Linked DNA regions of Notamacropus eugenii. The protein of the gene in region 2 interacts with the protein of the main gene of each other region in a pairwise test. Links are inferred from orthologs where the notes say so. Each region holds a gene or a part of one and is shown on either strand. Other genes may lie near its edges.

The links.
Region 1: the proteins of TSKS (region 2) and TSSK2 interact in binary tests that used the Homo sapiens proteins (3 or more experiments, as listed by UniProt). The link is inferred for Notamacropus eugenii from reciprocal best matches to the Homo sapiens genes TSKS and TSSK2.

Annotation. Positions count from the first base shown.
Region 1 is NC_092875.1:12,363,774-12,371,392, reverse strand, and holds TSSK2 (testis-specific serine/threonine-protein kinase 2), read left to right. Parts: upstream 1-5,286; 5' UTR 5,287-5,603; coding exon 5,604-6,683; 3' UTR 6,684-6,815; downstream 6,816-7,619.
Region 2 is NC_092876.1:12,140,849-12,149,051, forward strand, and holds the start of TSKS (testis-specific serine kinase substrate), read left to right. Parts: upstream 1-4,946; 5' UTR 4,947-5,019; coding exon 5,020-5,189; intron 5,190-5,473; coding exon 5,474-5,717; intron 5,718-7,376; coding exon 7,377-7,472; intron 7,473-7,734; coding exon 7,735-7,818; intron 7,819-8,125; coding exon 8,126-8,203. UniProt on the Homo sapiens protein: May play a role in testicular physiology, most probably in the process of spermatogenesis or spermatid development.

The DNA of each region.
Region 1 (7,619 bases), on a different chromosome or scaffold from region 2:
GGGACTGTCATAAAGGAAGCACTTGGTGAACCTTAGAACACAACAGAAACAGGAACTGAAATCATTGGTAGGCATGCATTGTGAGCCCTGCCTCTCCCAAGACCCTTGATCCCAAACTTGTGGCCAGGAAAAAGGAAAAGGTTGATCAGTGTTTCTCAATCCCAAATGGGCCTTCATTAATGCAAAGCAATTATTTTATTCCCTTCCTAAGGGACTGACAATCCCCCCTCCCCATGGAAACTGTTCCAAGACTTCTCTTATCTCCTCCACTGGGGACCCTTCCTATTTCACTGTGAAAACTGAGGAAATCTGCCATGAACTCCCTCCCTCATCTCAGACCTCCTGGACATTATCTCCCATTCGCATTCCCTCTACTCCAGTGTCTGATTAAGTGGACCCCTTCTCAGCAAAGCCAAACCCCCTGCATATGCCCCGGATCACATCCCTTCCTGTTTTTTTCAGGAGTCGCCTGCACTATCCTGCCCTCTCTTTCCCCAATCTTAGATCTCTCTTCCTGTCTTCTGGTGCCTTCCCTGCTACATACCCTTAAAAAAAGGTTTTGTCCCTTGCTCCCAGCACCCCTGCAAGTGGGCACCTTCTATCTTCTTCACTTTCCTAACCTCTTGGAAAAGCTGTCTCCACACACTCAGTTTTCCACCCTTTGCAAACTAGCTTCCAACTTGACCACTCAACTGAAACTGCTCTCTTCAATATGACCCATAACCTCCCAATTGTCCAATCTGCTGACTTCTTCTCCGTCTTTATCCTTGAGCCTCTAAGAAAGGTCAAGTGACTGCCTGCTCCTCCTGGATACAGCTCCTCTCTCCTGGCTCTCAACCCATCTGACAGCCCCTTCTCAGTCTCCTTTGCTGGATTATCATCCATAACCCATTCTCTTCAGGGGTCGCCCAACACTCTGTCCCGGGCCCTCTTTTCTCTCTACATTGTCTCACACTGACCTCATCAGTTCCAATTCTCCTAAAAGCTAGACAACTCCTCAGAGCCAGCCCCATGGCCAACTGCCTGGTGGACATTTTCTACTCTCCTGCCCCTGTCCCCCCTTCTCCAGTCACGCAGCCATTACTTTCACTTTAACTGTTCATCACCTCACCTGGACCCCTCTAAAAAGCCTCCTTTTAGTCTCTTTGTCTCAATGCCTGCTCACCTCTACCTCTGACAAGGCAGTTTCCTTTCCTTGAAAGTTCATGAGACCACCTTTCTCAATTCTTCCCTAGCTACTACGGTCCTCCCCTCCCACATTATCCTGTATTTATAGACCCAGTCTGAACACACTTTATTTGTGCTTATATATTGGTTGCCTCAATAAAACGTTAAGATCTTGGAGGGTAAGGATTGCTGCTTTTGCCTTTGTAGTAAGCACTTAAATGAAACGCTCCCTTTGATCCTAGACCCTGGAGAAGCGAGAAGAGGCTAGCTCTCCTAAGCCTAACCCTAAATGCATCCACTCTTCTCATTTCTGTGTTCCAAGAGTTCAAAAAGTCCTAACAGGGCTGGAGAAAAGCCAAACCCACCCTCTTACTCCTAGGGGATCCCAAGGCCCTTAGAGACAGCTAAAGCTCCAAGAGCACCAGGTTCCTAGAAGTGTCTCTAACCCAGTCAAACATGGTCCAGGATCTCAGGGTCCACACCTTGTGCTTTTAAGCTTTTAAAGGATTATCAATGGCCAAAGACATTATTAGCCTTGTTCTGTGGGGTCCAGAGGGGAAAACCCAGAGTAACCAATCTCAGTTGTGGAGACAAGTTCAGGTTGGACATTAGGAAAAACTCCCGAAGAGGAAGCACTATCCCAAAGTGGAGTGAGCCGCTCAACAAGTTGGTGAGTGGGCTTCCTCTCACACAAGCTAGGTGACCACTCGTCTGGGATATTGCAAGAACTCACCCACAAAGATCCTTCCCAGTGCTAAGAAATCTGTAGTTCCGCCTTCTGTTTCAGAAGGGAGCCCGGCACCCTGCATCATTCCTCAGAACATGACCTTCCTACCTACTGACAAAGGGCTCATCTGAGAGGCAGTATGGCCCAATGTTAAGTACAGAGACCATGAGGCCTCATTTTGCCACCAGCTTGATGCATAAGCTTGGCAATGTCTCTTCCCCTTCCTTGGGCACAGTCTACTCCTCTGTAAAATGAGGAAGGAGCTAGATTCAGGGGTGTATGGGGTTCATTCCAAATGTACTGTTCCATAGGTCAGGGGCCCTCAGGGACCATCAAGTTCAAGCCATCCTTAAAAAGGAATGCTCCCAACATTTCCTACTGGTCATCTAGCCTCTGACTGAACATCTTAAAGCTTAAAGTTCTCCATACTCCTGGTCCAGTTCCCTACTGCCAAACAGAACCAATCTAAATTCTCCTCCATATGACGGCTACCATCTCATTTCCTATGGCTCCTTCTTATCTGGCTAAATAACCCTCACTCCTTCCAGCTATCTTCAGATGGCACGGTCTCCTGGCCGTATACCCCAGTGAGTCCATGTCTTTCCTTGAATGTGGCGTCTAACCAAGGCTGAGCACAATATTTCAGATGGAATCTGCCAAGGGCAGTGGGACAGTCACCTCCTGCTTTTCTCTTAATATAAGAAAAGACTGCACTAGCTCTTTTGTTGGGAGACAAACTCAGGTGGAACTTGTTGTTCACTGAAACCCCTAGATCTTTGGGTATCTTATCTTCTAGCTGATCTTCCTGGAGGGCTGAGCCCAACTGTCTCTCTCTACCCTTCCTGAAAACTGATACTCATGAAACTCCAGTAAGGTACACCTTATCCCAGGACCTGGACCCAACAGGACATTCACACCAGGCCATCCTTAGCATAACAGACACTTCTCTTCCATAGCCACTGTCATTAGCTCCCCTCCACTTCCACCCTTAATCTTGGCCCCAATCCTTCTAATCCCTAGGCTGTAGGAATTATAGCTCATAGCTCAAAGGGCTGAGAACTGCAGAGTCCATAGACATCCCAGCACAGCTCCTTCTGTGGGGCTCCAATCAGCCCACTTAACCACCAAACCTCTGTCCCTGTGCACACACTACTGTTCCCATCCCAATTCTCCAAATGCCAACTCTCCAACCAGATTATGACCTCTACAGTCCTCTCTGCCCATCATCACTCAGTCCTTCTTCTCCCAGATATGCAGAAGCTTCCTCAACTCAATTATTATCCAGTTCTCTGACCAGGATGGCTTCCCCATTAGAAATTAGTACAAATAATTACAGGGACATAAAAGGTAGAGAGACATCAGCCTTGAAGAAGCAGCATGGGGTTTGAAGTCAGAAGGATCTACATTCAATCTTGCCTCTGGCACCTACTGGCTGTCTGACCCAGGCAAGTCACTTAACATCTCAGTGCCCCTGAGCCCCTCTCTAAGGGTGGAAGTGTTAAGTGAGCTGCCAATCAGCACTAGTAAAAGGACCAAAAGATAACCAGGAATAATGTCCTTAGACATGTCCTGACTGCCAGTACAGAGCAGGCTTGCAGAGGGTGGTCTTCCAGTCCCCTACCACATAACGGTAACCTTGAGCTCTCAAAAGCCATGCAAGGAGAGAATCAACTAATCTAGCAAGACTCTGAGTGTAGGGCCTGTGTTAAATGGCATCCCTTCCATTCAAAGACCAGGCCAGCCAAGGCTGGAGAGTATTGTCAGCAGAGGCCTGGATCCAGCTGCTCAGTCAATCCTCCTCTAGGGTGTGGACAGAGCCTGTCTCGGGGTCACTGCAGTGAGCTCCTGTGTGAGAACTGACCACAGATTCTTGGAGTCCTCGTAAGCCATCTTTGCACTACCTCCCTCCAAGGCTTGTTGGAAAGCCCCACTTTGTATGTACTGCAGCCTTCTAGCAATGGGAGCTATTCTAAGAATCCTGATCCAGGGCCACCTTCCTCACCTCCCTTTAACTGGAATCTCCTCCATTCCATCCGTCCCTCCCTTGGTCACGCACCTGTCATCCTCATTGACTAGATGAAGCCCAAACTCCCCATCTTCCACCTTCTCTTAAGGAGTCAACAAGCAATGATTAAGTACCTACTGTTTGCCAGACAACAGGCTAGGTGCTGGGGATAAGAAGATAAAAATTCAACAGTCCATTGCCCAGAAAACTCCTCTTTTACACCCTATACTTCAGCCAGACCATCCCGAATCCCCAAACATGACCATGTGTATTCCCTTCCCCATGCCTTTGCTCATGCTGTACTCTCATGGAGAGTATTCACCTCTCTCTCCTATTCCCATCATCCCATTCTCCCAGGACCAGATTAACTCCCACTTCCTCCTGGTGTTTCCTTGGGGAAGTATGTGCTGCAACTCACAAGTGCAGGCTCTACCAAGGATAGGAAGAAGGCCAGGCTAGGGAAAGGATGGATTTATGGCCTCCACCTGTCCCGCTGAGGAAGAGGGTCCCCATCCTGGAGAAAAGAAACGTAACACTTTAGTTCTTCACAGTACTTTGATAGCAACACTATCCAAAATGTGTGTATACACACACACACACACACACACACACACAGACACACACACAGACACACACACACACACAGACACACACACACAGACACACACACACACAGACACAGACAGACACACACACGCACACACACACATGTACACACACACACAGACACACACACAGACACACACACACAGACACACACACACACAGACACAGACACACACACACACACACACACACACACACACACACACACACACACACACACACACACACACACTCTTCCAAAGACCAGGACAAGAGGTCTGTGACCTGAGGGCCTCATCTAGGGGTTGCCCTGGTCCCCAGGCCTGCTCCAAATCCTTGCACTACATTCATTGCTCTCCTGCCCCCCCTCCTTTCCACTTGCATCTGAAGCCCCTTCACCTAACCCCAGGCCCCAAACTCCATTTCTCCCCTAACATCTGGCCAGGGAAAACAACTGTTCCCAATCTTCCGCAGAGATTGTAACAACACATGTAGCTAAGTCCAGTAACTATCTTTCCAGCCAAAGTCAGGGTCTGTGTGTCTTCATGGAGGGATGAAACTAATGCTTTGCATGTTTAGAGCCCAGAGGAAGATGTTTTCACATTCCAAAGAAATCAAATTAATTCACCTTGAGTGGGACAAGGCCACACGCCCAGGCCCACCATGCCAGCAAGGCAGATGTCAGGCATCCTGTCTGTCATTCTGTCCAGACCACAAGCTGACTTTCCTGATGGGTAGAACTCCAGGAAAGAATCCATTCTGATGGACGAGCTGCCCAGGCACACCTGGGCTAAGAGAAAAAAGAGGAGATGTTACCAGCATCCTGGGGTGGGGGAGGGGGCTGCTCCTTGCTGATAGCCTTCCAGGGTTCCAGGTGCCCCAAAGCCTCGGGGCGAAAGCCCCATTCCCCCCGGCACAGTCCCCCACTCTTGGCAGCTTCGCTTTGTGACTTCACACGCTGAAGTCACTCGGGAGACAATGCTGAGCGTTCTACCTCCCACAAACTCCAGACCCAGCCTGCTCAGAGGACTCTCCCGCAGTGTAAATGAGGACACTGTTGGTCCATGTGGGGAGGGGATGTAGATAACAGCGTCAGAGGCATCGGTTGCTTCTGGCACCATGGACGATGCCACAGTCCTAAGGAAGAAGGGTTACATCGTTGGGATCAATTTAGGGAAAGGCTCTTATGCTAAAGTGAAATCCGCTTACTCTGAGCGCCTGAAATTCAATGTGGCGGTCAAGATCATCGACCGCAAGAAAACACCCACTGACTTTGTGGAGCGATTTCTGCCCCGGGAGATGGACATCTTAGCTACGGTCAACCATCGCTCCATCATCAAGACCTATGAGATCTTTGAGACATCCGATGGGAGGATCTACATTGTCATGGAGCTTGGGGTTCAAGGAGACCTCCTGGAGTTCATTAAATGCCGGGGAGCCCTGCATGAAGATGTGGCTCGCAAGATGTTCCGCCAGCTCTCCTCGGCCGTCAAGTACTGCCATGACCTGGACGTCGTCCACCGCGACCTCAAGTGCGAGAACCTCCTCCTGGACAAAGACTTCAACATCAAGCTGTCTGACTTTGGGTTTTCCAAGCGCTGTGTACGGGATGGCAGTGGGAGAATCATCCTCAGCAAGACCTTCTGTGGGTCGGCTGCCTACGCAGCCCCCGAGGTGCTCCAGGGCATCCCCTACCAGCCCAAGGTGTATGACATCTGGAGCCTGGGCGTGATCCTCTACATCATGGTCTGTGGCGCCATGCCATACGACGACTCTGACATCAAGAAGATGCTGCGTATCCAGAAGGAGCACCGCGTGGACTTCCCCCGTTCCAAAAACCTAACGGGTGAATGCAAAGACCTCATCTACCGCATCTTACAGCCCGACGTCAACCGGCGGCTGCACATCGACGAGATCCTCAGCCACTCCTGGATGCAGCCCCCCAAACCCAGAGTCATGCCCTCGGCCTCCTTCAAGCGGGAAGGGGAGGGCAAATACAGGGCTGAGTATAAGCAGCTGGACGCCAGGCCAACCAGCAAGCCAGAACACAGACCTGATCACAAGCTAGGAGCCAAGACCCAGCACAGGCTGCTGGTGGTGCCCGAGAATGAGGAGACCAGGCCTGAAGACAGGCTAGCTGAGACGTCCAGGAACAAAGACCATCTACAAGGATCTGAGGTGGGGAAAGCTCACGGCTAATGGTGGCCGCAAGTCTTGCCCCTCTCCCCCAGGGTAGTCTCTGTCACGTAGCTAAGTAGGCAGGTGGGAGCAGAAGAAGGCACGGGTGCAAGGAAAAAGTAAAATCTGTCAATTAAACCACTATTTTGATTACGTTCCGTAGCTTTCTTCCCACTCAGTAGCGGAGATACTGCTTGCTAATCACCAAATAAACCACAGAGTCTATACAAGTGCAAACAACGCCCCGTGAGGAGTCTTTTTCTCTAGGACGTGGCGGCAGGGCCGAGGGGCCTCACCGCCCTCCCCAAGGCGGGGTTGGGGCGGGGGTCTGCTCAGACAGGGTCCTGGGGGGCAAGGAGAACCTTCAGAGGAGTCGGCGAAGGCAGGTGTCTGTGCGACTAGAGAGAGCCCCGGAGGTCAGATCCCAGGCCCAGTGAGCTCCGCTGGCACCGCCCCCACCCACCCACCCTAGGCATCTTTGAGCTCTGCCTCTAACTCTAGTCTCCCATTCCAAGGTGCCTGGGAGATGCCCCCAATACTCAACCAGGTTCATGAGCTTCCAAATAAAGCTCCCTTCACTTCCAGCATCTCGTTCAATTCCACAACGGATTTATTAAATGAGCTGCCACTTTGGGCTACCTCTAGAATTCTAGACCTGGAGTCAGCAGACCTGAGTTCAAATCTAGTCTATGCACTTACTAGTTACGTGACAAAAGGCAAGTTACTCTCAGGCCCTTGGTCTCCCATACCCATAAAACAGGGCTATGGTGCCTAAATGAGATGATTTACATAAAGCATTTTGGAAGCTTGAGCATGCCGGATAAATGTGAATTGCTGCTATTAACTACTAAGGGAATAAGAGAGCAAGATTTTTGTAAAAAAGGAAGGTACAAGGTCACCTGTGACAGGGTTCAAGAAAATAGCCCAACATGGTGTCTAGGAGGAGGCAGAGAAAGG
Region 2 (8,203 bases):
GCTCCACCAACAGTGTATTAGGGTTCCAACTCTCCCACATCCTCTCCAACATTTATCATCTTCCTGTTCTGTCATGTTTGCCAATCTGACAGGTGTGATGTGATACCTCAGAGTTGTTTTGATTTGCATCTCTCTAATCAGAAGTGATTTAGAGCATTTTTTCATATGATTATAGATATCTTTAATTTCTTCTTCTGAAAATTGCCTGTTCATATCCTTTGACCATTTATCAATTGGGGAATATCATATTTATCCTTCCAAAGAACTCTTCAACTAGAGATTTCTTGTAATTCTCGCTTAAGCACTTATAGTGAAATTGTGACGACCACTTTTTTTGTGGATAATGAAATTCTACAACAGCTCTGTGGTCCCAGACTCCAAGGTTTTTTTCTTCAGTCTTCTAAAATCTTTTGGTCCCATATGCAAATGAAAAGAAAAGAAAGGGAAGGGCTAAACAAAAGCCCTCATGTAGCCCAGTCTAGGCCAGAAGACTCTTTACCTCAGTACTTTTTACCTCAGATCCTGCCTTTATAATGTATATGTGACTGTCAATCAGTCTCCCAGGCCAAGACTCTCCTGCCCAGAGACATGTCTCATTGAACTTGGTTGGATGAGCTTCCTCAGGCATCAAAGACACCATGGTCATCCACTGCACATCCACATATCACACCAGTGACCAGCCCTGAGCTTGTCATCCACTTTAAAACACCAGCTCTCAGACAAAATGTTGAAAGCTGCTAAGGCTTCCACCTGTTGTAAATCCCACTGGGCTTCCTAAGGATGAAGGAAAGGGAGAATGGATGGAAAGAAGCATTTATGAAGCATGCACCAGATTAAGCAGTGAGGGTACAAATACAAGTGAAAAGGAGTCCCTGACTTCATAGAGGAAGACAACACGGCAAAGGGAACTGAGACGTCGAAAGTCCAGGAAGTCTTTCCCACTGAACAGTTTGGCTGGGACTTTGCAGAAGAGCAGTCCATAGTGAGGGTCATGGGGGTGGCAGATTATTCCAGGCTCTAAAATGAGCCAGTAGTGAAACGGACAGACTGAGACAGGCACAGGCAAGAGTTAATTGAGAATTTGGGAGCGTCTTTATCAGCTGGTGTCTGTCCTCCGAAGAGGCAGCCCCGAACAAAGGTGTGTGTGCCTTTTAAGCATCTTAGCACTTCCCGGTATAGCCTTGCGGTTCCAATAGCACACATTTTTCACAGAACAGTTTTGACAGGGGCTCCTGGGTATTGGTAGGCAAGGGGGCACAACAGAGAGGGGGGCCCAGGCAGCTGCAAGGCAAAGGGGTACAACAGAGAGGGGGGCCCAGGCAGCTGCAAGGCAAAGGGGTACAAAAGAGAGCGGGGGCCCAGGCAGCTGCTAGGCAAAGGGGTACAACAGAGAGTGTAGCCACTAACAGAAAGTGGCTACTAGGCCCAACCCTGCCTAGAAACTCAACGGACATTTCTCAACCCAGGGGCTCTGGCGGGGGGAGGAGAAATAATGTCCACTTCAGTAGTAGAGGGGGCAGTCAGGAACCGGGCAGGAAAGGGAATGACTGGTTCCCCTCATGGTGCTCTCCAATCTCCTTAGTTTCTGGTCAATGATTTTGAGAAAGGGTGCTGATGCTTCTACCCTTGAAACCTTTCCATAAACTTTTCCAGCACATTGCTGGACATCTCCTTCTTGCCACATTCAAGGATCCTAAAAGGCAACTGGAAGCAGGTTTAAAAGATTGCTGGGGATGGATGCTTAACTACCAAGGCAGTCTGTCTATACACCTTCCAGCACTTAGCACAGTGACTGGCACATGATAGATGCTTAATAATGTATAATAAACTATGGGTAGCTAAGTGGTGCAGTGGATAACGTGCCAGGCCTGAAACCAGGAAGACTCGTCTTCCTGAATTCAAATGTGGCCTCAGACACTTACTAGCTGTGTGACCCTGGGCAAGTCACTTAATCCTGTTTGCCTCGGTTTCCTAATCTGTAAAATGAGGAGGAGAAGGAAATGGCAAACCACTCCAGAATCTTTGCCAAGAAAACCCCAAATGGGATCACAAAGAGTTAGACACGACAGAAACAACTGACCACCATCACCACCAACATACTAAACTATGTGATCACTGCATGCCAAGTTTCTGAATAGGTGAATTCAGGAGAGATCCGATGGGGTAATGAATGATTCAAGAGCTACACATGCATAGATAGAAAATTTTACATTTTGAATGATATTCTATTTCGTCTCCTAAATTAATTTCAAACCCAGCCAATAAGTGCTAACCCAAACCACTTAGCCTATGGTACATAGGCTTGGAGCTGGGGAAGAAGTCTCGAAATTTGAAGTCTGTGTGTTCTTAGGTCTGCAAGAAGGGAAACTTGAGCCTTTTCAGCTTGAGGCCATCCTGGCCTGACAATACCACTGGGCTGATGGCTCAAACAGATACTGTATTCCCTCAATGGATAATTAATATGGTAACATAGTGCCCTCAAGAGCCCCACTACGTTCCATTGAAACTGGCCTCCTTTACAATCCATCTCCTGTGTCCATCTCTTTCTAGTTCTCCCCCACGCCTGGGACAGACTCACTTTTCATCCTCACCTTTAGAATTCCTTGTCTCCTTGGCTTCATTCAGGTACTAACATGAAACCTTTCCTGATCCACCCAAGTGAAAGTTTTCTCCCTCCTATCTCTCCTTTGCCCCTTTCACTACCTAACTTGTATTTATTTCCATAACAAGTTATTATAATTAATTCATTTGGAGTAGAGGGTGTTAATATAGTAAGTCTAAGGGTCCCTTAAGATCTACTTGGTTCACTCTTCTTGGGCTTTAAGGAATTTACTTTGGATGAAAAGTTCTGAGTTCAGTCATAGTCACTATAAGCCTAGAGTTAAGAAACTTCCTGACACCTAGGCAGAGGGACAGGTCTCTGCCTCTGTCTCTAGTTACACGCTAGCCTCTTTGTGGGTGAGGCAAAATTCAGTTGGTGGGAAACACTTGAGTAATGCAAGAACAGATTATATAATGTTGTCTGTGGATAGACAGGTGTTGGGAGCAGAAGGTTGAGGAAAAGAGCCAACCTCTTCAGCCTAGGTCCATCGTTCCAAGATATCTGTAGAGCCAATGACTCTCATCAGCATATCCTGGATCTATACCTACCATAGCTAAGCCCTCCTTTTTTCCCTCAAGAGTGTGCTAGAATGCCATGCTGGCTCCAGTCTCTCAAATCCAGACCTTCAAAATCTCTTCGGAATCCAGTTCTGAGATCTCTCACAATGGCTTTAAGTCAATGAGGTATACAGGTCCTGTTCACCCTCAGAACTGATTGTCCAATTCAAACAGAAAGTACCCTTGCCTAGTTACAGTATCAGAACTAAAATAACAGTAATTTCAACCCCAAATGACATTTATCTGCACACAGGTTATATGTCCTTGATTGATTGGAGGCACTGTACCAAGCACTGGATCATGAATTCAGTAAACATTTAAATGATTTTTATTGAATTTTTATTTTACTGAATTTAATTCTATGGTTTCTTCTCTCCCCCTCCCCCATAAAGTCCATGGACTGGTCCATTGTTGGGTGGGATGGCAAATATTCACTCAGTTTCCCCAGTAGGGGATTAACAAATCAATCCATGATTATGTTCTAGGATGGAAGACTGGGAAGGCCCATTCTGAATTGTAGGGAGAGATTTTAGCTTCTCCTCTGTGTACGAGGAAAGGTTTATATTAAGATCCTCCTCCCCACCAATGGAATCAGTGGATTTGCCCCTATGAGGGTTCTAGGAACAAGGCCTGAAAAAGTCTGTAAACCATTTTGCCCCCATCATTTGATTGGCCAATCAGGAGAAAGACATTTTTAGCCCACTCTGAGCCTGACTGTGCTCTGGCATAACATTCTCTGAATGAACCCAAAATGCCCCTTCTTGTGTCAGCATCTACAAGGCCAGATGAAGCTGACCAGGTGCATTCTTCTGTTTATGACTGCCAAGGACAAGGCACCTTGAACCAGACACTATCTTAAATAATGGCACTTTTCTTATGTTATAGTATGCCATGTTAACGGTAAAAGAAACACAGACCTCCCGAATCTATAATTTCAATTGATACCTTGTCATTCTCTTATGGTATATGCAATCTATCCAATTAAGAAATTCCTGTCTCACATTATGGTTAACACATGTGGAGGCTACAATTTTGACCGACACAGGTCTCCTGAGTTGGGATTGCTGTGTCCTCTGAGTCCAGAATTATTTTCTGACTCCATCATGCATGACTCTCTGGCTTGATGAGAATAAATTCGCATATTATAACACATGTACAGTTGGTTAAGGGGGACCCTATTCTGTTTGTTCTAGGGCAAAGCTTCGGTTAAGGGGAAACTGATTCTGTTTGTTTCTTTGGACCAAAACTTTGGTAAAATAGTTGACAAGTCCATTCCAAATTCTAGGGAGAGGCATTGGGCCCTTTCCCTCTCTGTGCCTTGGTTTCCTCCTTAGGAAAAACTAGGATTTTGTGTTCAGTTTGAACTTATACTTATTTTCCAACTCTTAAAGCTACTTACTCTGTGAAATCTTCCCCTGAATTCACTCCATAAATTCATCAAGGTCTTCCATTGGAGAGTTTCAGGAATCAAGTTCTCTATGAATTATAGATGGAGGTGGATGTCATGTCCTGTGGATCGATGAGCTGGCTCATTGAACTGTTCTGGGAATGTTGTTTGGGAACTTCCACTCTGGGTTGCAGAGGTGGGGGAAAAGGACTCCTAGGTTCCATGGCCTGACCTTGGAAGGTTCTAGTTTAAGCCCTGGGACAGTCCACTATAGTTCTAGGAAAGGAGGAGAGGCTGGATTCATAGATTCTAGAGTCCTTCCACCCCCAAGGAGGTGTCTCCAGGTGGTTGGGCCCTTTGTGAGACAGGCTGGCGGGGGCTGGGGTCAGGGGTCAGAGTGGGTGGTGGGTCTCGGTGGACCCCCACCCCCCTCCCCGGGACCTGGGCCGGGCCCCGCCCCCACCACTCACACCATGGCGAGTGTGGTGGTTAAGACGATCTGGCAATCCAAGGAGATCCATGAAGCCGGAGATCCCCCAGCAGGGGCTGAGAACCGGACCCCACTGGGGCCTGAGGTCCCTGGGGCTGGATCTGGCCCTGGAAAGGGGATCACCAAGAAAAAGAAGGCTGTGTCTTTCCATGGGTCAGTGGGGGCCTGGGGCTTGCTGACTGGGGGGAGAAGAGGGAACTGGAGTTCTCAGGTGTCTCTAGGGAGTTGACCGCACTATCTCTTACAGGGTAAAGCCCTGGGGCTTGTTGGAGGAATGAGGGGGTTGGGAGAGAGGGAACTCAGGCTCCCAAGGGTGCTAGGGAAACTGACTTGTTTGGGACAGAGTCCTAGGGCAAATTTTGAGGTTGGGAGAGAGGGAAAGGGAGGAAGCCAGGGCTCCCAGGGTGTCAGGGGTGCTGATCAAGTACCTCCTCCAGGGTGGAGCCCCGGATGTCCCATGAGCCAATGCAGTGGTGCCTGAATCTGAAGCGCTCCTCAGCCTGCACCAATGTCTCCCTCCTCAACCTGGCAGCTGTGGAGCCTCCTGACCCCGGGACTGAGCCCACCCCAGATGAGCTCCCAGCTCTTCCTGCCTCTGGGACCTCCTCACCCCCCACCCTGAGTCTGCCAGCTTCGGCCCCAGCCTGGGCCCCTGATGACCCTGACATCGCTGACCTGTTGGTAAGACCCCTTCCCAGAGGGCTTGCGTCCGGTACCGCCCCTGCCCCCCAAGTCCCGGCCTTCAGTTCTAGCTACCAGTCGCTGTGGTCCTTGCTCAGACAAAGGTTCACATTCCCAGAAGAGGTTTTCAAGACCTGATTCTCATTTAGACCCAAGGCTCCAGGCTGGGGGTTGAGTGACCAGTGATATTTCACTGAGAGAGCTCACACTGTCTCTCTTTTTAGACCTGAGGCTTCAGGGTCCAGGACTCATATCTGGGGTCTCCAAGACAGGTCAGGCTTCTGGGCTGGGTTCCTGTCAGTGGCTTCCCGCCAGAGAGGACAGGGCTGGGAAATGTGGGGTTCTAGGAGGTTTCTAGGCATGGAATGTGCCTTCAGATTCAATCTGCGAGTGGGTTTAAAATCCACTTTGGAGGATGCCCCAGGCTTCCACACTCCCTGGCCCAAAGTCAGAAAGACAGAATGGAAGCTAACAGCCTACCTACCCCTCCCGTCTGGATGTGGAAACTGAGGGAGACTCAGAAGGAGAGAGGCACAGAGGTACTGGAGAACAGATGGGAGCCAGGAATTGGGCCTTTGGCTTCTGGGTTGGGTGTTAGAATGCATCTGAACTCGAGGTTCTGGCTTCTGGGCTCAAGGCTGTAAGTGCCAAATTTCAGTTCCCATCTTGAAACTCAGGGAGCCAACCGATTAATCAGTCACCAAGCATTTATTAAACACCTACTATGTGCCAAGGGGACTGGAAGATAAAAGGGAAGGGATTTAAGAATTGTCTGATGCCTGCTATTATACCAAACAGTACTAAAGGCTTTACAGTTATCATCTCACTTGATCTGCATGACGACCGTGGGAGGGAGGTGCTGTTATTATCTCCCTTTTACAGCTGAGGAAACTGAGGCAGGCAGAAGTTAAGTGATTTGCTCAGGTTCACACACCTACTAAGCAGCTGAGGCTGGATTTGAACTCAGATCTTCCTGACTCCAGGCCCAGGTCGGCTCTATCTGTTGAGCCATAAGCCGTCAAAGGTCAGACAGTTCTGGCCCTTAGGAACTCTGGGAGGATCAGGAAAGGCCTGACTTGGAAGGCAGAGACTGACCTTGGTCTTGATGGGAAGTAGGAATTCTAAGAGGTCATTGGGAGGAGAGCCTGCACCCCAGGAGTGGGACAGGCTGAGCAAAGTCAAGGTGGCTGGCCCAAGAAGACATAAAGAGAGTTTCTCTTAGGCTGAAGGGCCTTCATGCCCAACACAAGAGGTCAGCCTTGATGCTAGATGTAATTAATTGAACAGCTCCGTGAGTTGTTTTAGGAAATTCACTTTGGTAGCTGGGAGTGGGGAGCCTCAGCCGCAACCCCTCCATCCTCTACTACATTATGGCCCCTACCTCTGGTAAGTGGACTGCCTGCCTTTGTTTAGACAGACGCATGAGTGGGAAGAGACTGACAGTAACCCTCCGTTGGCCCAGTTTCAGGCATTAGGATGTGACATGGCAGAGAGCCCTTAGAGCCCATGTGGGAAGCCCAAATCCATGAATCTCCAAAAAGCTTGCTCTCCCCTTCCCCACTGCTAGACATGAGAAAGCACTTGCCTGGCTCCAGGGCTGGGGAACACAAGCAGCTAAATCCGGGGTACTGTTACCCTGAGTTCCTCCGTGTCCTACAGAACGGGGTGAACAGCGGCTTGCTGAGGGCCAAGGACTCCATCACCAGCCTCAAGGAGAAGACTACCCGGGTCAACCAGCACGTCCAGTCGCTTCAGGTCCCACTAGCCGCTGCCTGGAATCACCCCCTCCCCTTCCTAGATCTTGCCCCACACCCACATGTGAATCCTGGGTTGGCGGGAGTTGGGGGGCCCTTGCCCTGGACACCCTGCCCAGCCTGTGGAACCATCACACACACCCTCGACCCCAGACAATCCCTGCCTCTCTCTGGGTCTCGAGGCTGCGCGGGCCACCAGGCCCCCACACACCTGCCACCGCCCCCCAACTCTTCTCCCGGCTTTGGGCCTTTGCTCTCCATAGAGTGAGTGCTCGGTGCTGAGCGAGAACCTGGAACGAAGGAGGCAGGAGGCGGAGGAGCTGGAGGGATATTGCAGCCAGCTGAAGGTGAGCAGGCTGTCAAAGAGGTGCCAGTGAGCGCCCCGGGGCTGGTGAGGCGGGGCTAAGGGAGGGGGAGCGGCCAACCGAATCCAAGAACCCTGGGGTGGAGCGGGGCTTAGCTTGAGGCAGGGCGTGGAGTGGGCGTGGTTAGGAAAGGGGGCGTGGCTGGTTTAGGGGAGGCCTGTGGATAGGGTACTCCCGTTAAAGCAGGGATGGGGGCTAGCTGGGGGCTGGGTCCAAGGGGAGCCCCTGCATCCTGGGGGAGGGCTTCCTCCCCTAGCCCCCACCCCCAGCCCTAGATGTCCGGTCCCAGGAGAATTGTCGGAAGGTGACCCGCTCAGTGGAAGACGCTGAGATAAAGACAAACGTCCTGAAGCAGAACTCGGCCCTG